Rhinolophus ferrumequinum: one gene and its partner. The protein of the gene in region 2 purifies or fractionates together with the protein of the main gene of each other region. This does not show direct contact. Links are inferred from orthologs where the notes say so. Each region holds a gene or a part of one and is shown on either strand. Other genes may lie near its edges.

Region 1 (15,174 bases), on a different chromosome or scaffold from region 2:
TAGCCCAAATTGGTCTGAGTGTTCGATTTTCCTCACTGTTTTCACTTCCACTGAAACATTTATTCCTGTCTGTAAATTCGGAATCATTTAGGTGAAATCCTCTAACAGTTCCCTGTGAAGGAAGCCAACTTCAAACCATCACCAGCATTCATGAAGCATTAAGAAAGCCTTTCTCCATGGGTGTGACAGTGAAAATGAACTAGGCAATCACGTGTGCTCCATCTGAAAAAAAAAAATCAAATCCTGCAACCTGTCCCATTTAAACCTTGATTTAGGGCAACCCTCTAACTCTTTCAGGAAAAATGAAAAGAAAAAAAATCTTTAGCTTATAATGTTAGCGAGATTTGTTCTAAAAAAATCAACACAGGCAGTGTTCCCTGATCTAGAATCTCTGGAAATGCCTAAGAATTTGCATTCTGTCTCAAATGGGCCAGAAATAATGAACCTTCCCAAGTATCAGGTATTTCACTGCTTTAGAGTCAGTATACGAGTATAACCATTTAAGGCTGCATTACAGAATGTAATTCCTATATAGTGTGGAAATATCACATTTCAAATAATATAACACTTTCCTTCAGATTTTCATATTGTCCATCTTTACTGTTTAGTTCACTAGTTCTTAAAAAGATATACAGACTTTATGCAATGATAACACTTCACATTCTTAAAACTTATGTTCTGGGGGTGTCAAGTAGACAGTCCACAGATCACTTTAGAAATAGTAGCACCTCAAGCAGGTCTGTGCTGAATTATAGCTGAGTGGCTCCAGGCCTGATCCCTTTGCTAACACACACACACACACACACACACACACACACACACACACACACACACTTTTTTGGTATGCCTATCTCCTTTACTATACAAGTATTATTGAGTTCTTCAAGGACAGGGGATATGTTTTACTCTTTTTGTGCCCCCAAGTAAGCTAGCACAGTGCAGGGCACTTGAGAGGTGCTCCCTAAGTGCTTGTTGAATAAAAAGAGTGAAGAGCAAGGGGAGTGACCTATATGGTTATAAAAATGTTTTCCGCTCTTTGGTTTGTAGATGGTCTCATTTTACAGATACAGGGAAACGGAGTCCTATCATGGATGGATTCAGATATACAGTACAGTAGAAACCACGGAAATATCAACTATGGATACCAATTTTATATGCTCAATTTTAAATTGCTGCTCCTGTATACCCTGCTTCCAGCTTTCAAGGCAATGCTATTGCCAGCCTGGTTCCTGGCACTGGTTGGGATTGGGAGTAAAAATGATCTGGAAATGCTAACAGAAAACTGGAGATGCTCCAAGACACTGCCCAAGAACGACACAGACAGGGCTGGAACTGGAGGTTCCAGTATCACTGGCAATGCTTTCCGGTTCTCTGAAACGAGAACCAACACCAGTACTTACTTCCATATCATTCTCTTTTTCCTACACCAAGGACTACAGGAACATAAATACACTTATACAGAGTGCAAAGTTCACCCTCTAAACCAAGGATGAGGAATAAGAAATAAAAGGACTTTGGGCAGCCCAAGTCAACCATTAACAGAGAAGAGATGTAGACCCTCACTAGATCTATTTAGCTGTTACAATCAAATTCAGGAAGCAGAGTTATCTGGGTTGCTACTCCACAGAAGATCAGAAGCTGCAAATAAAAAAGAGGGCGGCAGGGACACTAACAACGACAAAAAAGTACAGCTTTCCTGCCTCTGAAAGAAGAGACAGATTAGCTGATAAAAGCATATTCAAGAATTCAAAAATCAGAGGGGGCAGGCAACCTACATATCTCAATGGCCTCAAAGCCCCTCTTGATTACTGTCAGTAATGGATGCTAGTAATGACCCTGAGTCAACAAAACAAAGGTTAAACTATCTTGTTTAAAAAGCAAACAAAGCATGGAATACATTGTAAAAATTTTTTCCACAAACAGTATAGCTAAAATAAGAATTTTTGCACATAATACTATAATATGTTCCCTAACAATAGTAGATAAATGGCGCACTGCTATATACATAAAGCAGAAAGTCAGCATTTGCAAACATGGAATAATGATATGACCTTACGGCCTCACCTGTACTTGGTTCTGTTACACGTTCATAATTTCACATTCCCTGACCTCCTTTTATTAGGTTGGTGCAAATGTAATTGCAGTTTAAAAGGTTAAAAATAATTGCAAAAACCACAATTACTTTTGCACCAACCTAATATAATGTACCAAAATTAACATCCTCCCCTCATTAGGATTGTTACCTTGCCAGAAATTACAGAGGCCCAAACACACCAAAGCTTAATACCTATTTTCTATGTCAGCCTCCATTTCTCATCTCACACTGGGATAACAGATGCACCCCAAGACTCAGTAGGTTCAGAGCCAGGCCTTTCCTCTTTTGCTTTTGGGTAAGAAAGACAAAATCGTAAAGTTCCATGGTTGCATTATACTGTCTTCTAGATGGCTCCTACCAGTCACGTGGACATTGTTAGTTGGTCAGAAGCTAGTTTCAGTTGCAAAGTAAGGTCTTGTGTTCTGTACCCCAGGTTTGTGCTGATGAATCCATTAGTCCTTGGGGGATACAGAGGCAGTTCAAGGAAGGAAGAGAGAAAGAGAGGGAGGCGTGGAATGAGGAGCTGCTAAAGCACTTCGGAGAGGTGCCCCTCTCCCACCATCAACACAGGGGACGAGAAGATGGACCATCAGAGTCAATAATACTGACATGGTCATTACTAAGAGCTCTCGTTCTTCTGTGAATGCAAAAATATCGACTACCAATCAACTGCTCAGTTAGCCTAGGCAGAGAAGGCTGCAGAAGCAAGTCTGGGAAGCTGCACCTGATGGAAGCAACACAGGCTGCTCCCAGGCTGCAGTTTGCTAGAGCACCATACAATCACACAATCAAATCTCAAGGCGGCTCCAGCAAGTAACACCCTTTACAGATACCCATCTCAACCTCATATTTTCAACAGGAATCTGACACATTTTTCTTGGTTTTTTTTTTTCCCCACAAAAAGAGAAACTAAACAATTTAGTATATGCATTAGAATATTTCCCCGACCTTCATACTGTTTTCCATTCATCCATTCAACCACCCAGTATTTCCTGCACATCCACTGTGTGTTAGGTGCAGAGAAAAAAGTACCTGTTATCATCACTATTACAACAAACTCTGTTGCCTTATTGCAACTATGCTCCCCACTCCATCTCCAAAACCACTTGGCACTTAGCCCCAGCGTGACCTGACATCAGCTTCAGAAGACCATCTCCTTTTTCTTGCTTGCAAATATGGCCACAGAATACAAAGAGCAATCTCCTGCTTCTATTATGTGATTATGGCAATCATTAAGAGACAACAACTTTGGTTACCATTTTAAAAAGTTACCCTGTTTCCCTGAAAACAAGACCTAGCCGGACCATCAGCTCTAATGCGTCTTTTGGAGCAAACATTAATATAAGACCCGGTCTTATAAGACCCGGTCTTATAAGTGCCTGTCTTATATTATATTAAAATAAGACCAGGGCTTATATTAATTATTGCTCCAAAAGACACATTAGAGCTGATGGTCCGGCTAGGTCTTATTTTCAGGGAAACATGGTATCAACTCAAGAGCTGAAGTATCTGGCTTCAGGGTTTACACCGCTGAAATGACGGTCACACAAAGTGTTCTAAGACGCTGAAGCCTGTCCTGTAAGTAAAGAAAGAAAAATTTCATTTAGAAATTCAAAACTCAGAAAAGATAAAAGCAGCTTTAGGGCTATGTGAAAGAGTTGGAGTCTACAAATACAAATCAAAAGAACATACTAAAAGTCAGGGAATTATCAATTCAACATAATTCTATGACATAAAGGATTAGATGATAGAAACAGTAAAGAGTGATGTTTGTTCCCTAATTCAAAGTACCCAGAAAGAAAAGCAGGGCATGTGCTTTCAAATTTTCATTCTTTAACCAAATCATAGCTATTTTTCTACTGGTTCCAGAGAAACAGAATATATCACTGTCACATTTTCACCAGCCACACTGAAGGAGAGCTGCGAGCTCCAAGATTTCTCGATCATCTTTTATTTCCATCCATTTCTATCAACTGCACTTGACTGTGAAGCTGGGTCTGAATTACTTACTTACAGTTTTTATTCTTTGATAAGCACTTTCAAATGAGGAAGTGCTTGTTGACTGATTCCACTGTATGGTTCTAAGGGCCAAAGTCCAACATCCTCACAAACTTCAGAAAACTTACTAATTTAACACAAAACATTAGTTTAATTTGAAGTCTATGTTAGATTGGCTCTGAATCTGGGCAAATAATTTAGCATCTTTATCATCTGTACCTCAGTTTCTCAAAGATATGCGTCTTGATAATAAAAAAAAAATATATGTCGTCTAAGTGCTCTAAGGCTTAGCTCAAAGGTCCTGCATAAACTCAACTGAACGTTTGAATTAATAATACATAAGCACTCAAATCCAATTTAAAAAAATCAACCCCAGTGAAATTTATGCATTACTTTACAACACAAGGAGAACAGGAATAATTAGTAAACAGCAATCACAATGACTAAATTACACATTATAAAGTCCTGCAAGTTAAAAGCTAAAAGATCCCACATTCCTATTCCTTCTTTTCAAGGTGAGAAATCAAATCTGCAGAGAGAAACTGGCTGGGTGGAGACGATACTGATACCTGACCCTCGATTCAAGCCGCATCTCTCATTTTCCCAGATTATAAACTCTTCAGCCGTCCAAACGATGATATATGGTCATTTAAAGGGCTAACAGTTTTGTAACCACAAACCATGCCCTGTCCCCTCCACTTCCCCTCCAACTTGCTTCTATTCCTCTTCCAACCAGAAGACTTGCAGGTAAGACGCCTGATTAGAATGAAACTCTTATCAGATCCCACAATCAAGGACGCAGCTTGACAACTGCTCGCATTCATCATTAATGAACGTTTCGGTTCTCAATCGCAGGGCCATCACACCCGGAAATAAAATCTCCAGCGCAACCCACTTTGGACTACCGTATCATTTCCTTAAGTCGCTCCCGATTGCGACCGCGGGCCCCGGGGCACGGTCACCCCGCCTCCCGCCTGGGGCCTGCCGGTCACTCGTGCTTCCCGGCCACGAGGTGGGCCCACGGGCGCGCGATCCTCCCCGGACCGCTGCAAAGGGCGCCCAGCGAGACACAAGGGCGGCACGGGGGCCAGTCGCCTCAGGGGACCGCATGCAGGAGCGAGGGTTGGTCACCAGAAGTACCCTAGACGGCCCGAGGCGTCCCCAGGTAAGGCCCGCGCCTCAGGCGGGCCGTGGAGGCGCGGGCCGAGGCCGCGTCCCTTCAGCCACGACCGCCCGCAGGAGCCGGCCTCGTAGCCAGCGAGGCAGGGCGCGCGGCCCGGGCCGCTGTCCGTCTGGGACCCGCCCGCGGCCGCCTGGGACGTCTGGGGGCACCGGTCCCCGGCCCCTCAGGGAGGCGCCCCGCCCCCAAGCGGTCCCTGCCTGGCGCGGGCCACGCACCGCTCCCAGCCCGCGTGCCGGCCGCACTTTCCCGCCCGCCGCGCGGGTGGCGAGGGTCGCGCACCCTCCCCCGCCCCCACGCTACTCACCTGCTGGGCTCTAGGCTCACTCCATGGCCGCCCGCGCCGTGCGGTGCGGCGGGGCCCCGGCCGCCCCCGCCGCCTCCGGGGAGGGGCCGCCCGACGCCGCACTCACCTCCCCCAGCCGCAGCCGCCGCCGCCGCCGCCGCCGCTACGGCTCCCGCCCACCCCTGGCCCAGCCATTCCCTGGCCACCTCTCCCGGCGCTGAGCCGGTTGTCCCACACCCACCCCCCGCCTCCGCGTCTCCCGTCTGTTGGTACCGTCCTAGCGTAAAGCCTACCCCACGACCAATCCGAGGGCTCATTCCGCGAGGCCCCACCCACCCACCCCGCCCTCCGGTGGGCGGGCCTATCGGCTCCGCTCCGGACCGCCCCCTTAACCCTTTCCGTTCCTGGCAGGCCCCACTTAACTCTTTCCACCCGGGCTCTAGTCTCACCTTCGTCCTGCAGCCCAGCCCGCCCTGCCCCGCCCACAGAAATTGAGCTCTCACTTCTTTCCCACCTTCGCTTTTTCCTGATTTCCCTAGGTATGTAGGCAGCTAGGTAGCGGGACTGGAGATTTGGGGGTCCCTCAGGTCAAATTCTATTTGTAAGAAGCAATTTGTCTCCTCCTTTTGCCCTTTTAATTTGCCTCAACATCTGCTTCTATGTAACTGCATCTCCTTGCGCAGAAGAGGCAAGCCTTCCTACAGTGAGCACAAATCGCTCCTCCTTCGGACCAGAGCAAAGCCCCCTGCGACATTTAGTTGTAACAAAATGGTGATTAGTTTACTGTAATATCAGTTGTTTAATGTCTGTCTCTTGAGATGGACTGTAAGCCCCGTGAGGACAGGGCAGTCGTGTCTGGGTCTCTAATACCAGACCCCAGTAGACTCCCCGTAAATGGTCTGAAAGAAAGATTCTCCCTCCCCTGAAGTTGTTTCCATTGACTCCATACAGGACATCCACTGCATAATATATCTGTTCATTTATTCACCCTGTACTAAGCTTGGACTTAAGTGTACCTGTCCCTGAAATACTATAATGCACGTTGCTCTGTGGGATAAGATGTGTGATGGAGGAAAGATGGAGCTGACTTCTTTTCCAGCCTGCATAGTTCATTTAAACCACAGTGTGTCATGGAAAGAATTTACTGACTGTATGATACTGGGTGTGCCATTTAACCGCTCACAGTATCTTATCTAGAAAATGAGAGTTAATCATAGTACTTATTTCACAGGGTTATTGTGACAACTAAATGAGGAAATGTGTGGGGAAAGGACTTGCAAATTATTGTATAATGTTAGTTATTACGCGTGTGTATTTACTGAGCACTTACTATCAGGAGATCCTAGAGAAATAATTGGATTATTTCAATTATTATTGAAATAATTGACTGTAGGCCCGGCCAGTCTACAGTTAGCTAATCTCCCTGAACCTTTATGATCAGGAGATCATAAAGCTGAAGGGCCAATCAACAGTTCCCCTGAGATGCTTTGCCCCAAAGGACTCTCCTTTCTTGCCGGTAACTCTGACAAGAGCAGCAAGGGTGGACTGTCCAACTGTAACTGCCGAGGAGAGGGCCAGCGCCACCTGCAGCCTCAGTTTCCTAGTGATTCCCCTGCCTCTCCCATCTTTAAGGAAATCAGAGGACGGTTTTCGGCTCCTCTGGGTAACCCACTCCAGTGTTTAATTTCACATCCATCAAATCTTTCCACGCACCCCACATGCTGCAGGACAGACGCAGTTTTTCCTCTTCTGTCCTCAAGAATTCAGAGCCTCCTAGCGAAAGATTTCAGATGACAAAATTGTTCTGTCCTCCAGTTTTCTCCTCACTAGGCCACATGATCCAGGCTCTTTGGGAATGTACACACAGCACAGCGCCTGGCACTCCAGGATGTCAGTCACTGTCCTCTCCTCCTGGGATGGGCCTTATTTCCCAACCAATCAACAGTCAGTATAGTCTAGGTATTGTGGCAGATGCAGTCATGTAAGAAGGGGACTCTGCCTTCAAAGAGTTTACATGACTACCACACAGGAAACAGCTGCAAGGAATACAGGAGGCTTCAATTATGCAGCACAGACTCTGTGATCGCTGAAAGCATCCAGGTCCAGGGGGGCAGAAGTGGGGCGAGCATAGATGGGTGGGAGACGAGAGGGACAATATGAACCAAAGTCAAGCAGTGCTATGTGAACTAAAGACAGACGTCCTCAGCAGAGGACACACGATGGGAGAGGTGTCCCTCGCTCCCTCCCTCCCTTCCCCCCTTCCCTTCTTCAGTGAATGTCTCCCAAGTGCCTGACACTGAGCTAGACCCAGGCGGTGCAAAGACAAGGAAGGCCTGGTTCTCGTCCTGGAGAAGGTTCCAGTCTAATATTGAGCAACAGAATGGAAGGTCAGGCAGAGCCCCACTAGGGTGGTCTGAGCACTTTGCCAAGACTTCCACGAAACTCTTTCACAACTCGTGGGATGTCTTGTGTTCTAGATATCCTTGTCTAATCTCCCCCTTTGTCTCTCTCTTCCCTGTCCCCACACTGCCAGGCTCTGAAAAGACACAGTCTGACTTCACTTCATCTTTATTTCCACCTGGGGAATGCCTGCCTCATGCAGGTCCCTTCTCTGCACTGTGGTGTTGAAGTGCATCGAGTTGAAATCAGAGCAGAAATCTGGCTGTTCCCCTCCAGCCAAGGGTGGCACACACACATCCTTAGCAGAGAAATCCCCCTGCAGGACTCTCCAGTGGCTTGTCCATGGCTTCAAGAATTCAATGGCAACTCCACTGCTTGGAATTTCCAATCAGTCCACCTTTCCAGGCCCATTTTCTGCTAACTCCTTACCCTCCACCCTAAAGGGCTCACTTGCTCTATGAGGCCGTCCCCTATCCCTGCCCCCATGGTTGTGACAATCTTCCTCTGGAAATCCCACCGTACCCCTCTCCCCCTCCAACTCCACCTGTGAAAAGGTTACATCTCTCTCAAATGCCAGTTGCTCATGAAGCCTTTCCTGACCTTTCTAACTGTGGGTGTTTAACCGGGCTTCTGAGACTCAGTACTTCGTTTGTACCTCTCTTGCAATATGGTTTGTACTGACATCTTTGGGGATATATCTGACCCCTTCCCCTGGGTTATAAGCCCTTCGAGGCTGAGGACAGTGTCTTCTTCATATCTGCATCTTCAGTAGCATGAACACCGTGCATGGTCCATGGCAGACACTCAACATTCAAAAGAGAAGTTTTAGGAGAACAGGTCCCACAGACATGGGAAATCAGGAGCACTGGAGGCTTTGTTCTTGGTCCTTTCATCATAGTAAGCATTTTCCTTAAGCTGATTCAGAATTTCCAAGTCTCTGACAGTTTGTTTGTCAAGCCCTGGGACAGCCATCCCATGGTATAAGGAGAGTATCCTCTCAAGATGCCTGCCTGCTCGAATGCAACACGTACCACACACCCCTCCTTCTGTTAAGAAAACACACCCACAACGATGGATCCTACTGAAACTAATGAAGTGAATTCTACATCAAGAAAGTTGAAGGGAGCTGTAGGAAAGCTCATGCTGTTCCAAGGTGCTAGGAGCCTGGGAAAGAGTCACAAGAGATTAGTGAGTGAAGGAGCACACGTATCCCTTCATTCCCTGCTAGGAGCACTGAGTAAGGAGGCATACACGGGTGGTTGAACTAAACTCACACCATCATCAACGGTGATGCTTGCATACCTATTCAGTGAAGTCAGTTGGTAGTAGGTTAGTAAGTTATTCTCAGGCAAATCCCATTTCTTTACAAGTTCAAGGAAAGCATTAGTTATATAAAAAAAATTTGATTCTGGTGGCCCTTTCTAGTACCTACTTGATGCTCACCTGGTGTGTTGTGGGGGGTAGTGGAGGATGGATTACTCCCTTGTTAGGTCCAATAGGGAGGGAAGGAGAGAGGGAGGAAGGGGGGGAGGGAAGGGGAGCAGAGAGAGAGAGAGGAAGGGAGAGAATGGAGAATTTGTCAGGACGGTAGAGAATTTTTATGAGAACATTTTATGAGAATTTTTATGAGAATGTTGCTTTTAAAAAGTGCTTACAGAAGGAAGCAAACCAACCTCAAGAGCACCAACAAAAGCAGATCAATGTCCTCCTTTCAAGGACCTCAAAGTAGTGACGTCTCGTGCAATGATGTACTGACCTTGGATTTAGGCCAGTCTCCTCATGTTGCTGACATAGAAACAGGTCCAGAGTTGAGTAACCTGCCCAGAGGAACACAGCTCGTTCAAGTAGACTCAGAACTCGAGATTGGATTCCAAGTCCGGTCAGGCCCCCTGATACCTACTGGACGTGGTTCTCTGAGGAGCTGGGATCACCTTCTCACCCCGCCTAGCCCTCCCTATCAGAAAGGAGCTCTGTCTCTGGGTCTGGCTAGTGGTTAACTCTTTCAACAGCATGCATGGCTTGATTCTATGGGTTGGACACTGTTTCCCACCGTGTAAGCACTCCCTCACCCTTCCTTCTCCTTCCAGCCTCTGGTAGGGGCTGGACGTGCCGAACGTGTTTTTCCAGCTTCCCATCCTGCTAGAAACATGGACACGTGACCCACCACACAGCTGATGGGACCTGAGAAGAAATCACCTGGAGGGTTTCTGGAAAAGGTTGTCCTTTTTACTAAAAGGAGAATGACAAGAGAAAATGCCTTTGGCTGCAGCTCTGTGAAGAGGTTATGTGTGCAGTCTGGCAGCCGCTTTACAACCGTGAGGTAGAAGCTAAAAACGAGGCCAACCCTCTAAAGAAGGCAGAAAGGAAAATTAGAAAGTACCACTCTTTTTTCTTTTTGCATTTTTAAGCTCCTGAAGTATAACATATGTAGAAAATTACACACATGCAGCTCCATGAAATTTCATAGATTGAACACCCTTGGGTAACTAACACCTTCTGATTACCACCTGCCCCCAAAGGTAGACACTGTCCCAACATCTAACATCACCGACAAGTTTGCCTGCTTTCATACCTCATATACATGGAACCTGACTGGACCCTGCCCGATAAGTCGTTTCCCAAAGGCATAGTACTCTTCTGTGTCTGGTGTCTTCCATTCAACAGTATGTCTGTGAGATGCACCCATGTCATGTGTAGTTAGAGATCATTCATTCTCACTGCCAAACAGAATTCCACTGGGAGGCTATGTGACGATTTATTGATTGATTTTTATTCTTGAAGGACACGTGGGTAGTTTCCAGATTTTTGGGGGGATGGGGGTGGGAGGCTGTTACAACTGGTGGCGCCATGAGCATTCTTGTGCCATCAAGAATGTTTGGGTTGAGCTAGGAGTGGAGCTGCTGCTGGGTCACTGGATATGCTTATGTTCAGCGTTATCAGTAGTGCCCCTTTTCAAAAGGGGTGGCACCAATTTACACACATACCAGCAGCATAAGAGTGGCAGCAGCTCCACATTCTTGCCACCTGGATCCTTTCTGAGCCATTGAACTCACCAAACCTGGAACCGTCTACTTGCAACTTGTGAGCGTGTCTGAGGAATGAACGGCTGGTCAGAGTCCCTGCTACATGCAGCCCGAGCTCCCCAAGTAAGGCAGCTTACAAGGGGAGGGGAGGGTGCTTTGCTCTGAAACGTACTTTCCCTTTAAAGGCCATCTACCTTCTGGCCCGTGGGTCACCCACCGCCATGGCTAAGGCCAGTCTTCAGAGCCTTAGTGTCTCCTTAGGGAGTGGCACGAGGCTGCCCCATTTTCATCACCACTGCCACCACTCACGGACACCTGCCTCATTTATCTCCTAGACTATGGCAGTAATTTGCTGCTGGATTTTCTCATCTCTCTCTCTCTCCCCACTCCAGTTTACTCTTCATTCCACCCACAGTATTAACTGCCACATGGACCTCACAGTCGAACTCTAAGGGCTCCAAGATGATCTAAAAACAACTGACATTGTTTTCTTTGATAGCCCATTTAGCGGCCCAAGAACACACTGAAAGCCTTCTTGGCTGATAGCCAACTCACCACCCAGTACAGTAACTACCATGAATGAGAACTTCTTTTGTTTGCCAAGCCTTGCTAAGGGCATCGCATCTATTGCCTCGTTTTATTTCTCATGATAATCTTAAGATCTTGGGGCCGGTTAGTAATTTATAACCTCTCAACTCCAACTCACCCTTTATTGCTGGCTCTGTGAAACTTATATTGGACCCTTTAGATTGTTTTCCTTTGCTGGATGGCACCCTGTTAAGCTTTGCCAGCGGAGGGTGCTGGAGAGGCAATGCAAGGAGGAAGGGGTCTTTCCTTCTTGGTTCTGGTGTGCCACTGGCAGATGGCCAGGGTCCTGTAGGGCACAGGGGCCAGCTGTGTCCCCCACCACCCCTCCTGGGGCTTCCAGGGAGACCCCGCTCCATAAATGGCTTTCCCTAGCATCTTAGAGGGTGGAGTTTGAGAAGTTTGGAGATTTCCAGCAAGTCCTCTGTTACTCAGCAAGCCACGACTGTGCCCTCTCCAGCCATCTGGATCTCAGCCCTGGCGCTCCATCTCAGCTGGAAGGGTGGTGGCTGGCCCTCATATCTGCTATTTTTGTGTCCTAGAAAGTTCTGTTCACTTTGCATTAGCCAATCTCTCCTTATGCCAATCCGCGGTTACAGTTAATAATTCTTTGCATTCAACTTTCTCGGTTCAAGTTACTGTCTAGTTTCTATTTTCTGATTAGGCCCTGATGGACAGAGTCCTTTTCCAATTACCTTTTGGTTTCGTTATTTATTTATTTTTTTTGGAGTTAATGACTGCTTTGTTTCATTTGTTCAGTTTTATTATTATTATTTCAATCCAAAAAGCTCTGCTAGTTGACTCTATCTCCTCCCTACAAACTGAAACATATATTTTAACAATTTCACCTCTAACAAATCCTTCCTTGGAGCTTGCTGACTTGCTCCCACGTAGACTTTTTTGCCCCTTGTGCCTGGTCTGCCTTCACATCATGCTGGAAAGCTCCATGGACTCTCCTATGTAGATCACATTTTGTCCATGTGCTTCCAAATTTTGTGCTTTTTGTCTCCTCTTTCTTCCTCCCTGTCTTGGCAGGTGTATGTATGCCTTTAAAAAAACACCCTTTGAGACCTTAGTTACAGCCCAGGTTTATGTTTCTTTAGTCTTGCTTTAAAGCACATTGTCATTTATTTGTTATAATTGTGGAGACTCTGTTTTTGTTAATATCACTGCTAAGATTCTAATAAAGAGCTTATTTAGGGAAAAACTCCTTTTGTTATTGTTTTAGTAGGGATTGAGGAGGAACCAAAAAAGCATACACACGTGTTTATTCTGCCATCTTTACCCAGAACTCCCTGTAAATATTATTTTAAAATCTACTTTTTATTTTTAACTTCATGGTATAGCAGGCATAACTTCCCACATTATTACATTCTCATTTACTACAACATTTCCTTGAACTGCTACAACATTTAAAAAGATCTTTGGTATTTTGTACTGGATATACGCTGTAATTCATTTAGCAGGCTTCCCTTGGTCAGGCGTTTAGGCTGTTTGCATTCATTTGCCACTGAAAAATTTTTGTAAGGGTTGTGGTGCAGACCCGCAAAACAGGCAGCCTGTCACACATGTGGCACGTTTACACACCCAGGGGCTCTGGAGCACTCATGAACTACTGGAATTATCTTCTTCGATGCCCCATCCCGATGCTGAGGGCAGAACATCCTGCCTGCCTTCTTAGCTGGCTGCCTGCTAACCAGCAGCTTACTCACGAAAAGGTAAAGTTTGTTATTTTCAACATGCCTCCAGTTTCTCCTCTCCTTTCTCCTCTAGCTTACATTTCACTCTTAATTTTGTCTTTGATATACGAAATACATCTATTGTTGGCTTTCCTTGCTTGCAAGTAAATAGTGTGCTAACAATGTGGTGTCTTTGAGTTCCTCTCTAATGCATACAATGTTTCTGTGTGCAGTCTCCTAGCTAAGTCAGTGTGCTGCTCATCCGGACCTTCTTCCATCGATAAATTGGGCCCTAACTTCTGGTGGGGGCTATGTTGCCATCTTAGCTTATCTGACTTCAGCACATGCCCTGGGGGAGAGCAGCTTTCAGCATCTCCGGTTATAAAAACGCACCAAAATAATGGCATACCTACACAGAAATCAGTACAGGATGCTCAATGGACAGCTAAGTTCTGGAGAAACTTCACAAGGAACATGAAAATAATTTTGACCCTTCAAGTCTTTACCCTCCTCCATGCACAAACACAGACTGGCAATTCACAAGTAAATGCAAGGTTTTCAACATCCAACGGTTTGGAGTAATGAAAAAAAAAGTCAGAAGTACAGCAGTCTATACAGTGCCTTTCCTTGTCCTTTCTTAAAATTCAAAAGAGGCTCAAGTTGAAACCAACAGGGCTGAGGCGGCCTGGGGACAGTGCTCCTTTCACGAATGTGAGTGAAGACTGGGTTTATTCATAGAACTTTCTGAGCAGTCAGACCACACCCTTTCTGGGCTGCGGCTTAAAGAACCGGAGGCTTAGGCTGGGCCTCGGGGGGCTGGGGGGATCGCTGACCTCCAGAGGGCAATATGGGGTCCGCTTCCGCAGCAGCCTTCCTTAGCATTATAGAAGCACCTTGAGGTGAACGCTTTTATGTCAGGTATGATCTGTCACTCTTGATGGTCAGGCTTTCAACCTGCATTTCCTGAGCTGTTGCCTTGAGCCAGGCCTGGGAACAGGGCACCAGTCCCAGGAGGAGACAGACAGGTACACCCAGAATCAAGACTTTTTTTGGGCTGCTGGCTCATATAACAAACACCTACCCGCCAGCTAGTTGTGCCAGCTCTACAATTTCAACAGAAGAAGGGCTTAGGGGAGCCTATTTGGTTGGAAGAGGGTAAGGCAGGGAACTGATGGAACAGTTCTTAAATTGTACACGGCACACTGGTAAATAAAGCAATGTTTTCCAAAGATGCTCTTATTCATGTGCATATGACTGAGAAAACATCAATTTTCTATATTACATATTTTGTCAGTTAAAATAATATTCTTCTTATTATGCAGGGAGGTGGGGGGGCACTGGTGGAGAATGTAGGAGGCAGCTAAAGCCCTCCCCGCCCCAACACACACACACACACACACACACACACACACACACACCCAGGTCTGAGTTAGGCACAAAGCGTGGTTTCCCACACTTCCCCACTGCAGAGCAGGTTACTGTGTCATTACGCAAATAAAATATGCATGATAGCAGCCTCCCCTTATCCATGGTTTCAGTTACCCATGCATGGTCAACCATGGTCCGAATGTATTAAATGGAAAATTCCAGAAATAAACAATTCGTAAGTTTTAAATTGTGCGCTGTTTTGAGTAGCATAATGAAATCTTGCCCCTCTCCATCCCGCCCAGGACACGAATCCTCCCTTCGTCCAGCGTAACTACACGGTATTTGCTGCCCACCTCTTAGTCACTTAGTAGCTGTTTCAGTTATGAGAGAGAGAGAAAGAGTATATTGTCATAACTGTTTTATTTTGTTATTAGTTATTGTTGTTAATCTCTCACTGTGCCTAATTTGTGAATTAAACTTTATCATAGGTATGTATGTAAGGAAACAACATACTAGCTATAGGGCTAGGTACTCTCTGTGGTTTCAGGCATCCACTGGGG
Region 2 (14,917 bases):
TTTACCAAACAACAAATAAGAAGAGAAACAGCCTATTTTCTGTATATATCTGTAATACCTAAATTAAAACCTCAATATTTACTGGAGCCACAAACACATCAATTTCAAAATAAAGCCAGGCTCCCATCTCTGTTACTTGTCATTACATTAACTGGGAGAAACATGGGAATAAGCAGTCTCTTGGTGCTGCTTCAAAAGGAGCCTCACATGAAAATAAAATGCCCTAAGCAAAGATTAATACAACCCTGATTGATACCATTTACTCTGATTAACGGCAGAAAAATCATGCTCGTAGAAAGTAGGGAAAGTATGCTTGGACATAAAGGCGTTGGGCCAAAAGTTTAACGTAACAGAACAAACATGACGCATTTAGAGTCTTTTGAGACTTACATGTAAGCTGACACTATAATAGTTCATTCTTTAAATATCAGAAAAAATGCCCAAATATTTCCAGATTTAATCAAAATAATTTAAAAGTACAATTTTAAAAGATAATCTCAAATGATCTATACAGGGATCAGATGGTCTAAAATTAGTAAGTATCAAATATTATTATGACTTATAAGATGAACCAGTGAGTGTTTTGGCCACACTGTGAAAGAATCCCAAGACACTGAAAAGTGGTTTCAATAGGATAAAATTTTGTTTAAAAGGTACAAACAGTTCAATGAACTCTAAAAACTGATTTTTGAGATCCTGTATTTCTCATACTTGTGAAACTACTCTTAAATACACCTGAAAAAATAAATATCAAATCTTGCAAAAATATGAAGGGAATATTATTTGTATTAATAAAGGAATCACAAAATTCCAAAACTCAGAAGTCTTTATTATACTTTAAGTCACTAAAATCTTAGCACATCTTGAAATTCTGAACATTTGTTGAATGAATTTCTCAACAGATTTGATATGCAGAGATGGTGTATACTCATATCTCTGCATGTACAGTAAGAAGGCATGTATATATAGTAAGGAGAATTTTTAAAAAAATTATACATCTCGATAAGTATTGTAGTTCAAAGTAGAGACATTGGGAAACTTATTCCAAAAATGGTACACATCTATGTTATCAATCGTTGAAGCCAGTTTAAAAGCCACACAAAAGTCAGTTCCATCATTTTAAACTTAAGTATTTCACCCAAAGTGTATATTATCCAGCTCAAGTACCTACCTGTTTTTGAAGATAGAGTGAAAATACTGCATTAGGATTCTTGCCTCCAAGCTTTAGAAACATCAGTAACTGATTGACTATCTTTAAAACCGAACTTTACTGGACAGCTCTTAAAGGTTACAAAATTGAAATGTGCCTGGAAAATCAGGAATGGAAGAGAGAGCACCAACAGGCTAGGGAGAAAGAAGCTCAAAGAACCATGTCAGAGAACAGTCTGATCTCAAGGAATAGTCTGATACACACACCACACTACTCTGGTAAGTCTCCAAAAGAACCTCACAGTCTGTTCTGCTCTCAAGAGCCAAACAAAGCTCAGGAAGAAAACATCTGACTGGAAAAGTCTAGGTCTGGTTACACCACAAAAGGGAAAGAAGGAGTAAATGCTTCAACAGGGCATCCGGGGCTACACGCAATGGGGCATGCCCTAAATGCCAGTCAAAATTGGGGGAAATCTTGGTGAAGAGTAAAACGATAAACGTCCACAATAAACGTCCGCAACAGTCCAGTCAGAACCACCGTGGCAGAGGACTGCTATCTCTATCCATTAGAAGAGAACTCTGGGGCTCAGAGAGCTTAAATAATTATGTACAACAATGGACGCACCTCAGACCTGGACTACACAACCTCTTTCAATTTCTGCTACTTCACAGGATCACTCTAAATTACACCTGGTCATTTAAAATAATCAAACCCAACCTTAAAGCACTAAGATTTGCCAACAACAAAGATATTTACAAGTACATGACACCAGTTATTTGAGGTGATAGTGAGGCGTTCTGAAAACACTCTGACTACTGGAGTCATCTATGGAAAATTAAAAATATTGAGAGGAAAGGAAAATACCTGGCTCCTTTGCTGTTCCTCCCCCTTAAAAGGGGGAGATTACAGAAATCTTGCTTGCTAATCATTAGGAAGTTGAATTCAAGTTTAAACCTATGTACCATCCTTGCTGTGGCCTCTGAAGAGTTAGGTCAATACCTGTGTCACTGAGGCTCCGCCCAGGCTGAGCACCAGCATCCCAAGAAGGGCTCAGGCATCTGTATTTTAATGAAAGCCAGAAAGGAAAGTCATTGGTAAAAAAACTGAAATGTGTACTTACTATAGAAGGGAAAAAAGAACTTCTCACAATGACTTTAGAGTCACCCCATAATAGGTAACGTGAAGCCAGACCATTTGCTTATTGGCAAGCTGAGCCTTCTTCCATTCAGTAAAGAAGGGAGAGGGAGAACACCAGATTCAGGATTCAGGATACAAGTCAAAGTAACTTTTTAAATATTGTAGATTATAAATGAGAAGGAACAAATGACAACCTCACACAATATGGATGAACCTCACAAACAATGCTGAACAAAAGCAAGACATAATGAAAAGCTCAAAAATTGGCAAAATTATTCTATGTTGCCACACAGCAGCCTACCCGTCTGTCTCCTCGTACCTGCCCCTAAAGGAGGGTCGGTGAGACAGATCCTTTCAGGGACTTTGCTTCACCTTTGTGTTTGCACCTCATGCCTGTTTGGCCCCAGAAAGATGGCTGGTCAGCCAACGACGAGTAAGATTCCCCATGGGGGGGACAACTCAAGCCAGGTGTAGTCGAGTGGGGACCAACAGGAGAATCCACGGGGTTCACAGAGGTGGGCACAGTCCTCCACCTCCCCCTGTCTAAGGAGAGCCTCTGCCTCTGTGGCTGCATTCCTTCCCACAACCTGCAGGGGAAGTGACTCAGAGATGTGTTCTCCATCTATTCATATGCATAAAGGTTTTGTCCCTTGGGAAAGTACAGACATCCTGAGACTTACTGTTCTGCTGCCTGCAGGCAAGGGTGACTGGCTTGAATCGGTTTCCTATTATAATGTATGGGATTCACAGATCTTGAGATTGACAAGCTTTATCTCCTTTGCTTCCCCACCTAACTAATAAAACTATGCGTAGGCCCAAATAGGGGCTCAGTCCTTGATGCTGGAGTCCCTTGGCCCCTCTTGCACTCTATTCATGGCTACTGTCTTTTCTTAACCCTGCGCCGCCCTCCTTGCTCCCCACAACCCTGGTTGTGCAGGATGCGACAGTGCTGAATTCTAAAGTCCTTTGAGGACTAGGCAGTGAGCGGAAATCAAACAGGGCTTTTAAAGAGCTGATCATGTTCTGGTTCTTGACCTAGATACTGGTTTAACAGGTATGGTCAGTTTGTGAAAATTCATCACACTTATGATATATATACTTTTCTGTAGGTTTATTATTCAACAAAAAGTAGTTTCAAAATGCCTTAAGTGTCAGCTTTTTTACAAAGTCATTTCACAATTTCTTTAAAATTCTTTGATTATTTTGATTTCATATCAGTGAGATCACATATACAGAGGGCACCAAAAAAACTGTATACACATTTTAAAAAAGAAAAAACTATTAAACTTGTAATAATATATATCGATAACCAAAGATGAATACAAGTCACGTTTGACTTCTGCAATTGCAGGAGGTGCTCAAAGTGGTTACCATCAGCGTCCAGACATTTCTGATTACAGTCAACTACTGCTTGAGCAACGTTGACCAAAGTGTCCACTTGTGTACATTTTTTTGGCACCCCCCCATATAAAATGTGTCCATCATTAATGACCTGCCTAACCTTAAAGTTTAGCTTTTAAACATCTTAAGAGTACCCAGATATTACAAATATGGATGCTAAGTTAAAATAATAAAAAATTAAAGTAATAAGTTATGAACTTGTTAATATCAAAGTAGTAAATTAAGCTCTAATATTAACAAGCATAAATGCCTAGGCTCTAGGTGAGAGAGTAATTCCTACCCTTAAAGAGTGATACAAGTTGAAGATAAGGGGGGTGTTGGGGGTGGGGAGAACCTCCAAAAGAGAAAAACATGAATGGATGAGTTGACAGGGATGGTTATTAGTATGTGAAGACATGAGGACAGGAAAAAATATATAGGTTGATTCCTAAAACATAAATTTAAAGCAATGTAAAATCCCAAAGCCACCCACCTCCACTTCAACTCCCTGGACTTGCCTGAAAAGGGGGGGATAATCCCTATGGGGTTGTTGAAATCAGCAAGAAATACTCAGAATTAGCTAGTGTTTGGATCTTGGCCACGGACATGGCAAAGTATAGTGATTCCTGACACAAACACAACAGGTGGTTTCAATTACCTGCCACCAAAGAACTTTAAATTGTTTGAATTTTTTAAGTACCCTTAAAGCTTCAACATATAAATTCTTTAGCTTATCTTCATGAAAACCAATCACAGGGAAGTAGCATGTTACTATGCTTTTGCTTAAACATTTAGAGTAACACATACTTGAAAAAACAAAAAGGCACTTTCTCACCATAATTTCTCACGCAGTGTGACTCAAAAGTCCAAAACTTTGGGTTTTAGTTTTTTTAAGTTTTAGTTTCACACAAGACATAACCTCACAGAAAAGTCTCAGGAAGTATAAACTAAAATATTCACTCAGAAATACTGATGACTTCTTTATTTCATTTTGTTTTTCTAAAATGGTACTTTTGTCCTGGCAAGTTGATACTTTCTAAAATCATATTTCTAGGACACTACACATCTAGTTTGTTTTTCTAAACAACAAAAGGGAATTTCACATACAGACTGATTTCATCATAACTCAGTAATTAATAAACAGATACGAGACCCACTTCACAGCCAGAGGGACATAACCTTTTTTCATGTCATCTTAGTAAAACCTGAGCAAATGAGAAACCTAGATATTGCAAATGCTCTAGGCAATTCTATCAAGGTAAACTTTAGTTATCATTAGATTACTAAATATCAGGAATCCACCAACAGTCCATATAAACCTCACCTATATCTGATTTTAAGTTTTGGTGAAGTAAGACTAAGTTGTTTTATGAGGATTAAATTTTTTTGCCCACCTTTGTGAATTGGGAAAACTTTCTTAAAATCAAAACAGATTATGGTACACCTGAAACTAATATAATCCTGTATGTCAACTATAATTTATTTAAAAATAAATTTTCAAAAAGAAAAAATAGGTATTTTTCTGACTCTCAAAATGTCTGTGGTTTCCATGCTGAGATAAAATAAGCTCCTGAAACCACTTTAGCACATAATGATTTAGACCAGAGGAGTCCAAACTTTTTTCAACGTTTTTCACCAAGGGCCATATGCGATAAAATACACAAACAGCCGGGCCACTCACTCCAGGTGAAGTACTATTGCCTCACCTGGTCTATTTAAGTAAACTAAATATATTTTTGGAATTTGCTGCGGGCCAATAAAAAATGGATTGCAGGCGCAGTTGGCCCACAAGCCGCAGTTTGGACACCCCTGATTTAGACTAATCCTCTCTCGACAAACTAACCATCTCTCTCATTGTCTGCGGGTTCTAAACATAGTCATTTTTGTTGATAGGTGGATATGTGATAAAGCAAAAAGCGCAAAATGTTAATGATAAAACCTAGGAGGTGAATATATAAGGTGTCCACTGTAGCGTTTTTTTCAACTTCTCTTTATGTGAAAATTCTCGTAAGGTATTTGGGTGAAAATAATCTTTCAAAGTCTGAGTACAAAGAATTCAACTTTAACCTACCTAAGGCTTTGAGGCCTTTCATCAAATCACAAACCTAGCATTTCAAGCACCCCACGAAAAAGCCCTCCCTTAAGATGGCAAGACTTTCTGGAGAATAGTCAACTGGTAAAACGTAAAAGCGCGACTAAAAATAACCTCACCCAAAGCAAGTTTACCTAGAAAGTCATTTTCCGAGAGTTGTCACGAGAATTTTGTTGGACTTTTAACTTTATCAGTAAAACAACTCTGCCTCCATTAACATTTCACCGCAATTTTTCAAAATTCCAAACAGTACTCCTTTAAAAAAAAAAAAAAAAAAAAAAAGGTCTCCCAGAAAGCAGATCTGTGGAGCCCTCCCAGGTCCTAAAACCCGCAAAACCCAGGAGTTCGGGGCGCTAGTGGTTCCAGGTGTTTCACTCTAACGGGCAGGTGGGGATTGTAACCGGGGGTCTACATGGATTATTAAACACGCGGAAAGGGGTGAGGAAGACATACCGACTGCCCGGGAGTCAAAATAAAAGGAGTGATGTGAAAGGAGGAAGGGAAAACCGAAGCAATCTGCGGGGAGGTTCTGGAAGCACCAGGCCGGCTGGGCGCTGCCGGGCGCGGCGCTCGGGAGCTCGGAGGCAGAAGCACGGGCCCCGCACCGGCCACCCCAGCCCTGCTCGCACCTCTCGGTCCTTGAGGCCCAGCAAGAGCACCTCCTCCATCAGGGTCAGCCGCGTTTCCTTGGAGTCGCCCTTGTCGTCTTCGTCCTGTTCGTCGCGGCGGCTCTGAGCGTCCTCCTCGCCGCTGCCGCCGCCGCCGCCCGCCGCCCGCTCCTTGTCGGCAGCGTTGCGGGAGGCCTCCGTGCGCCGCTGCACCAGGCCCGAGCTGCGCTGGGTCAGCGAGGTCATGGCTCCCCCCTAGGCGCCGGGCCGAAAGGGACGCGGACCTACCGGGTCTCCCTCCTACCCCCCCGCCGCGGTCCCCGACCCGGGCTTCCGTGTTAAATCCCGGTGCTGGGGCGACGTCCGTCGGCAGCGGGGCGGGGGGCAGTCATGGGGAGACGGGCCGGGGCGAAGCGGATGGGTCGGGTGTCCGCGGGCGAGAAAGGGGCTCCTTCCTTCCTGCGGCCGCAGCCCCGGAGGCAGCCCGAACACCCAGGCGGCGGCGGCAGCGGCGGCGGCGCTTTTCCAATATGGCGGCGCTGGCTGACGTCACCGGAGGATGTGGCACCGCCGGCTCTGGGCAGGACCGGAGGGCGCCGGAAGCGGCGGGCGGGGACCGGCGGACTCCGACCGTCTCCCGGCCCACGGGTGTGCGCCGCGTCTCGCCCTTTCCTTGGCGTCCCTTCGCCATCCGGCCCGCGGATCCCCTCCCATGACGTGTCCTCCCTCCGCAGGTCTCCCCGTTCTCCCCACAGGAAACCCGGGCTGGAGCCACGAGTCGGGGGAGCCGTGGCCTAGCAAGAGTGGACTCCGGTCAACCTCCAGCTGTGCCCTTAGCTCCCCAGACATCACCATCCTCGGAGCTGGCCTTGGCCGGGGTTGCAGGGACCCGGCTCGGAGTTCGGAGTCCCCACGAGACACAGAAAGGACTTTGCTCGCTGCAGTTGGAGCGAGGAGAGGACGCGTTCTCTGCCCCCATTGCTTGACCCTTCAGAAGGAGCAACTGCACTTAGATGGCTTGAAAGTGGACTTCGTGTTTTCCAGGTGTATTACTGCATAAAAAGAGATTAGAACAGATGGAATAGTTTTGTTTGTAAAACTTTTCTCCTCGCCCCCCGACTTGTAAAGTGACCAGGGCGCAGTGAGTACAGTTAGTACTGCCCATGTCAGTAGACGCGACCTTAATGAACTTTATATACAGACAATAAACCTGTTGAGTTTCATGCCACGTCTTTGTGCACATTAAATCTCCCTCGATTTAATTACTAGGTTAAATCCTTTTGGCGTGCTTGACTGTGCAAGTTATGTTAAAGAATAAATGTCAAAACTGAGAGGAGTGTTGGAAGGGTGGAGCTTGTAGGTAAAACGTTATCTAGAAATGGAATTGCATACTATTTAAAATCAACAATGACCACAGGCTTTGACTGCAGAATGGTTTAGATAGAAATATATTGTTGTAACAGGACTTAAGCTATAATAAATGATTAAGCCGTAAAGCCATCCCATAGAAATTCTGGCTACAGATTTCTCCCCCTTCCACAAAACCATTATCCAGAACTACCGGTCACACCATCACCACCTCAAGCCCTGGAAAGTGAGAATGCTTATTCTACCGGGGTGGGGAGGAGGGAGCAGCGTGAGCACAAGTAGACCCTCCCTTTTTCCTGTCATTCTGGGCAAAGGTCTATTTCTCCTCAACCAATTTCTCCCATTCATATCCTCTTCGATTTTTTTTTCTTTCTCTCCCAATTCTTTCCCAAATAGCCAACATATTCTCTGATACTCTTCCTCTCAAAAGGGGAAAACTAATTCCCCTCCCCTTGTGTGGGCCAGACTTAGTGACTCTCTTCAAACAAATAGAATGTGGCAAGTGTGACTGTGTGACCTCTTCGGCTAGGTCATAAAAGTCTTTGCTGCTTCTTTCTCTCTCTCTCAGATCATTCACTGAGGGAGGCCAGCAGCCATGTCATGAAGATAATTCAAGCTGCCTTATTGGAGAGGTCCAGCTGGGAAGGAACAGGCCTCCCCCCCACGGGCATGTGAGTGAGCCATCTTGGAAGTGGATCCCCCAGCCCCACTCAAACCTTTAGTTAACATCTTGATAGGGACCTCATGGAAGATTCTGAGCCAGTACCACCCAGCTAAGCTATTTCTGAATTCCTGAGCTTCAAAAACCATGAGATAATAAATATTTGTTGTCTTAAGCTGCTAAATTTGGGGTCATTTGTTATGCAGTAATAGGTACTAAAATACTTGGACACGTATTCACACAAATAGGTAACTAATATTATTTTCTTAGATATCCTTCCCAAGCAAACGTGAAAATGTTTTTCTTCTCTTTGATGCAAATAATAGCATATTATCCACATTGTTTTGTATCTTGGTATTCTTTTCCCACTTAATTGATGTTGGAGAACTATCTATATCAATACTTAAGAGCTTTGTTTCAGGTGCATATTCTATTGTATAAACATATCATATTTTTTTTTTTTAGTCAATCCCCTATTGATGGACATTTAGGTTGTTTCTCATTCTTTGATATTATAAACAATGCTGTAATAAATATAATGACTAGCCACATATATTTTGCCTACAAAAATAGGCACCACTCTTCAAATCATTGAGACTTTACATAACTTTCTGTTTTATTTTTTTTTCAGTTTTCCTAGCATTGCTTCCTTGCTTATTTTCCACAAGGTGGACTTCAAAATCACCTTGTCTAGAAAGAACAAAAAAGAGAGAAAGGAAGGGAGGAAGGAAGGGAGAGAGGAAGGGACAGAAAAGAATATGGCATTTTGAGAACCAAAACATATTACTAATAACAATGACCGTTTATTTATTGACTGCTGACTTTGTGCCAGGCATGTTCTCCAGTAACCCCCAGCAGAACCCTCAGATTTGGTGCCTCTGCTGTGCTATACTTCTGTGTGGACTCCAACCACCTCCTGAAGCGTAGCCTATCAGCACCACACCCTATGCCCATGTGGGGCAACCTAGAAGTGTGCAGGAGTCAGCACTTCACCCCAGTACATAAAAGTTCCCCTTTTTCTCCCCCAAATGGATTGTTGAGATCCTTTATACAACTTCTCAGTGACACTTAGCTACAACAAGCTCAACAACACATTCTTTTTTTTTCCAACTTTTATTTATTTTAAGTGTGGTTTTCCAGGACCCATCAACTCCAAGTCAAATAGTTTCAATCTAGTTGTGGAGGGCGCAGCTCAAAGTGGGGTCCACACGGGGATTGAACCAGCAACCTTGTTGTTCAAAGCACCGCGCTCTAACCAACTGAGCTAACCGGCCGCTCTCAACAACACCTTCGTGATATGGCTCTCCCTCTTTATTCTTCACTCCCCCTCTCCCTTGTTCTTGTTTCTAGGAGATGTACTCTCTAACAAAAAAGTAGCACAAAAGCCTTTGTCTTAGACCCTGCTTTCTGGGCATCCCAGATTATGACACCCATGTTACTGGTGAATATACTGAGGTTCAGAGAAGTTAAGTAATCTGCCCAAACATAACACATCTGGCAAAGTGCAAGCCTGCATTAGAAGCCAGGTCCTTAATAAAATCATTGAACAAATATTTGTATTTATATATAATGGCTGTATGCCATGCACTGTGATAAGCAATGACGATATCATAGCAATACAAAAGAGACACAGCCATAGCATTTTTCATGAGGCTCTTTAATGGAGGACATGGACATTAAGCCAATCATCACACTAATTAATGTATAAATTGAGAAATGCTTTGAATACAGAAGGAATACAGTATTAGGAGAGCATGCACTCTCAAATATCTGAGAGACATACATTTTATCTGGGACTCAAGAAAGCAACTCTAAAGAAGTAATAAGCTAAAAAATGAACAGACGTTAACTAAACAAAATTGGGGTTGGTCATTCCTGAGAGGAAATAGCATGTACTAAGGGCCCATAGCAAGGAGAAATCATGGGATGATGGAGAATCAAACCAAAGACCATTTTGGCGGGGCTGAGGGGGAGAGTGTTGTCAAAAGCAATAGTGACAAGTGTCAAATCTTGCAGTGCTGTGCGTCCATCTTAAGATTTGGGTTTTTTCCCAACCAAACACAATGAGAAGCCACCGAAAGTACTTTCAAATGCCCTGTGTAGGGAAAAATGGAACGGGTGGGTCTGTGATATTATCAGATTTGCATTTTGAAAAGTTCACAGGATTCACCAAGGAGGTAGTCACAATGGATACAGGAGACAATTAGCTTTTGCAGTGGTCCCTCAGGACCTGACGGTAAATTAACTTTGATCATGGAAGAAGACAGATCCCTAGTGTGAATCTGGTAATATAATGGAGTTTTCTATAATGGCAAATAATCACGGGAGGGCATTTATTTTCATCATTGCCATATTCTGTGGGTTAGAAACAGTCATTAGTTTCAGCCCATGCTCAAGAGGCGGGGATTATACAAATGCATGAACGAACACCAGAAGGCAAGGCTCACTGGGGTCACCTTAGGGGCTGCCCACCGCAGCATCTTGAATCCTTTTGGAGATGGAGAGTATGTGAATTAACAAAATCGAACCTATCTTTCAGTATTTTCAATTACCTTTTTTCTTTATTCAAAACGCCCTACAAAAACCTGTGTACAAGTTATTTACTGCTATGCAACAAACCACATCCCCAAAAAGTGGCTTAAAACAACTATTTGCTCATTATTCTACAGTTTAGTAATTTGCACTGGGCTCAGCTGGGCTGTCTGCTGGTCTCCCACAGGGTTACTCATATGACTGTCGTCAAACTGCAGCTTCACTTGAGCCAGTTGATTTCACATGGCCTCACAGGTGGGGATTGGTGCTGGCTGTAGGCTAGTCCACATGCCTCCAGCAGGCTGGCCCCGTCTTCTTCACATGGCATCTGAGTTCCAAGAGAATCTGCAAAGCTCACAAATTTTCACTTTTATTTTTGCCGCATTCTATTGGTCAAAGTAAGTCCCAAGATGAGCCCAGATACAACAGGTGGGAAAATAGACCTTACCTCTTTTCTTTCTACAGTTGTGCAAAGTTCAAACCTGAGAATCCTTCAAGATTTATCTGACAACTATTGCAAAGTATCCATATTCATACCCAAGAGCATTTCTTAACTGGTTAAAGATATAATGGCATTTAATGTTAAAGTAGTTGATCTTTACTTGTATACAATAAGCTAGTGTATATCTACATATATCTGTACTATATCTATATGTCTATACTATATCTCCAGAACCAGGAAAGAAAACGTTGGTAAATGTGATTCCATAAAAATCAAAAACTTCTGCATGGAAAAAAAAAAGAAAAAAAAAAACTTCTGCATGGGGAAAAATATCAAAGTCAAGATACATAGCAAATGTGGGGGTGGGAAGGAATAGTCATAGAACATTAACAGCTCACATAAAAATACAGCTGGCTCTTAAATATAAAAAATAATGCTTGACTTTATTAGTAATAGGAAAATCATATTAAAACTACACTGATAATACCATTTCACCAACTAGTTAGAAAGTTTGGCAACACATGTAAGCAAAAGTCTGGGGAATACCAGAACTAATAACATACATTGCTCTGGAAGTACAAAATGGAGGGCAATTTGGTGAATTGTGAATTCATCAAAATTCCGAATGCATTTACCTTTTGATGTAGCAATCTCACTCTATCGCCAAGATTTATCTGCTAATCTATGAAATGACATATGTACTTGGTTGTTCATTGTAACATTGTAGAAGTGAAAGAGGGGAAATAACCCAAAGTTCATCAATAGGAAATTAATTAAATAAACAGTAGAACATCCACACAATGGAAGACCGTGTACTATGAAAATGAATGAGGGAGTTTTCTGTGTGTGCTAATATGGAAAGATCTCTGACATATACTGTATAGAGAAAAATACAAAGAGCAGAACAGTTTATATAATATGCTACTTTTTGTATAAGAAAAGGGAAAACAAAGAATATATTTCACGTTTATATATACATTTTTAAAGCGCTGGAAAGATATAAAGGATACTAACAAAAGGAGGTTACATGATTTGGAAGATAGAATAAGGACACAGAAGTGAACATGTAGGTGGTGCATTTGTTTTCTCCATGTGGCATAAACATTTTTTGAATCTACATATATATGTATTTTTATTTATATTCAATTTTAGATTTATTTTCTCAAAATATCAGCTCGATTAAGATTAGATTCATATACAATATAATTCACCTATTTAAATTGTTCAAGTCAATGGTTTTTAGTTTAGTACAACCATTACCACAATCAATTTTAGAACGTTTTCATCATTCCCCAAAAAACAACTACCTATTAGCAGTCATTCCCCTTTGCTCTCCAACCCCACTCCCCAGCCTAAGGCAACCACTGATCAATTTTTTGTTTCTATAAATTTGCCTATTTGCATATTCTGTGGGAGTGTCAGTTCCTCTTTTTTCTTCTCTGTGCACAAATTTACAGCCACCTCTACTTACTTTGCCCCACTGCCTGTCCAAACATCTCCAACTGCCATCATATACTTCATTTAGCGTCATTTCTATAAATGCTCTGTATCAGTAACAAGTGACTTTCTGCCAACTGCCCCTGGCCATTCCTAGCTGACATGGAATTTCCTGAGTAGCTTTCTTCTCTGCCCCCTCCTAAAGTGGAGAGCTCCCTCCCTCTCCTGCTATTTTACTTGTCAAAGTAAAAAAGAGCTTTTCCAAGGTATATCCCACCTCCTACCATATTTAACAGACAAAATTGTTGTGTTATTTTGCATTTATGTAGACCTTTTCTAGAAGCTCACAATATTCTTCAGCACCAAATGGCCATTTTTACAATAACCCAATGACGTTTACCATAACAGTTCTTCCATATTTGGTCCTGCTCTATTACCTTCTCACCACCAAAACCCCTCCCCACTAATTCACTAAAACAATTCAGAAAATATTTCAAATGAATTTTTCACTAAGTAGAAAAATCTCTTCTGAATAGAGTATGTTTAAACCATATGAAAAAGCAATAGGGTTCATATACAAAACACTAATTTTAATAAAAATTTAATTAACTAAAAATACAAATTATTATTTTAACTAAATTCTTTCTACCCAAATGAGGATGAAAGTTATTTTAACAGGTGACATAATAATGTTCATAATAATCTTAATAATGTCTATAGCTTCTTTAATTCAAAATCCCAGTAAACTTTACCTTGCATCATTTAATTAATAAATAAGATAGTGTGATATAATTAAATATTTCCTCCATTATGAGAGGTTTAGGTAAGTCAAATGTAAATAAGTAATAGATAATCCGAAAATTTTTTTAATTATTTTTTTTTGCATCTGCATTTAAGGTAAGAGTTACTAGGTTTCGGACAATTCATTATCAATCAAACATAGAGGATCCGACTGAGGAAGATCTGGGAATATTAGTTTCTCCATCTTTACATTTGCTTAACTGCTATTGTATTCTGCTTCAGATCCAGTAATCAGCTCTGTCTATGCTATTTCTCAAAACCAAGAGATGGCCTACATCTGCCCTTGGTCCAGTGATAGGGTCTATATCCCCTCCTCTTGAACCTGAGTGGCCTTGACGCTGCCTCAACCAACAGGGCATGGTGAACTTGATCTCATGGAACTTCTGAGGGCATGTCATTAAAATATAATGCACACCTACTTTGTTTTCTTTGGACGATTGCTTTTGGAACCCAGCCAGCATACTGTGAGGAAACCCAAGCATCCTGTGTAGAGGTCCACCTAGAAAGGATCCGAGGCCCCTGACCCACAACCCTGGCCGAACTCCCAGTAAACAGCACAAATTTGCCAGCCACGTGTGTGAGCCATCTTAAAAGTGAATCCTCTAGCCCTCCAGTTGAGTTGTGCCAGCTGGTGCCATGTGGAGCAGAGATGAGCCATCAATTTTGAGAAACAGATAACTGAAATAGTTATCAGAAATAGATAACAGAAACACAAGGTGAGAAGAGTTTCCTTGGCTTATAATTCTCTAAAGCAGAGTCTGGTATATATTTAGATTCAAAGGACTTCCCTCCTCTTGCAGTAAAACCACCAAGTCAGTTATCATGAGGAATTGCTAACTGTCAACAGAACTCTGAACCCTTCGTCAGCTTCCCTCATCCGAAAAAGTAATTTCGTGAAAGCTGACTCTCCACTCATTTTACAGGCCAGAGATTTTACATAGGAAGCGTTAAGTCACCAGTGGACAGAAGGGCCAGGAGCAACATGGCTGAGAAAAATAATCAGGTTAATGCAGCAGTCATGAAGAGAAGAAAGCGGATGTGCTCTCAAGTGACAATGAGAGAACCCTCCAATTGTGAGAGGAGAGCAAAACAAGTCAAACCAGGTAAATGGCCCCAGCATGAATTAGAGGAGTGTCACAGAAATCATCCTCATTCTTAACTCTTGAAAGGGGGGCAGGGGACAGAAGGGATGAAGGCAGATGCCAAAGAGCTACCCACACAGGGCGTTCAATATATTGTTATGAATTTCGTACTTTTTGTTTTCAGGAGAAATCGAATGTATCAGACGATCTTTTGAAAGTTACATAAG

The links.
Region 1: the proteins of GOLPH3 (region 2) and FAM20B purify together in Homo sapiens (affinity purification with mass spectrometry; 3 studies listed by BioGRID and IntAct, with this or other methods). This does not show direct contact. The link is inferred for Rhinolophus ferrumequinum from reciprocal best matches to the Homo sapiens genes GOLPH3 and FAM20B.

What each region holds. Positions count from the first base shown.
Region 1 is NC_046305.1:12,112,027-12,127,200, reverse strand, and holds the start of FAM20B (glycosaminoglycan xylosylkinase), read right to left. Parts: upstream 5,701-15,174; 5' UTR 5,581-5,700; intron 4,685-5,580; exon of another isoform or gene 4,663-4,684; intron 1-4,662. UniProt on the Homo sapiens protein: Responsible for the 2-O-phosphorylation of xylose in the glycosaminoglycan-protein linkage region of proteoglycans thereby regulating the amount of mature GAG chains.
Region 2 is NC_046290.1:21,194,274-21,209,190, forward strand, and holds the start of GOLPH3 (Golgi phosphoprotein 3), read right to left. Parts: upstream 6,895-14,917; 5' UTR 6,614-6,894; coding exon 6,389-6,613; intron 1,291-6,388; exon of another isoform or gene 1,235-1,290; coding exon of another isoform or gene 1,172-1,234; intron 1-1,171. UniProt on the Homo sapiens protein: Phosphatidylinositol-4-phosphate-binding protein that links Golgi membranes to the cytoskeleton and may participate in the tensile force required for vesicle budding from the Golgi.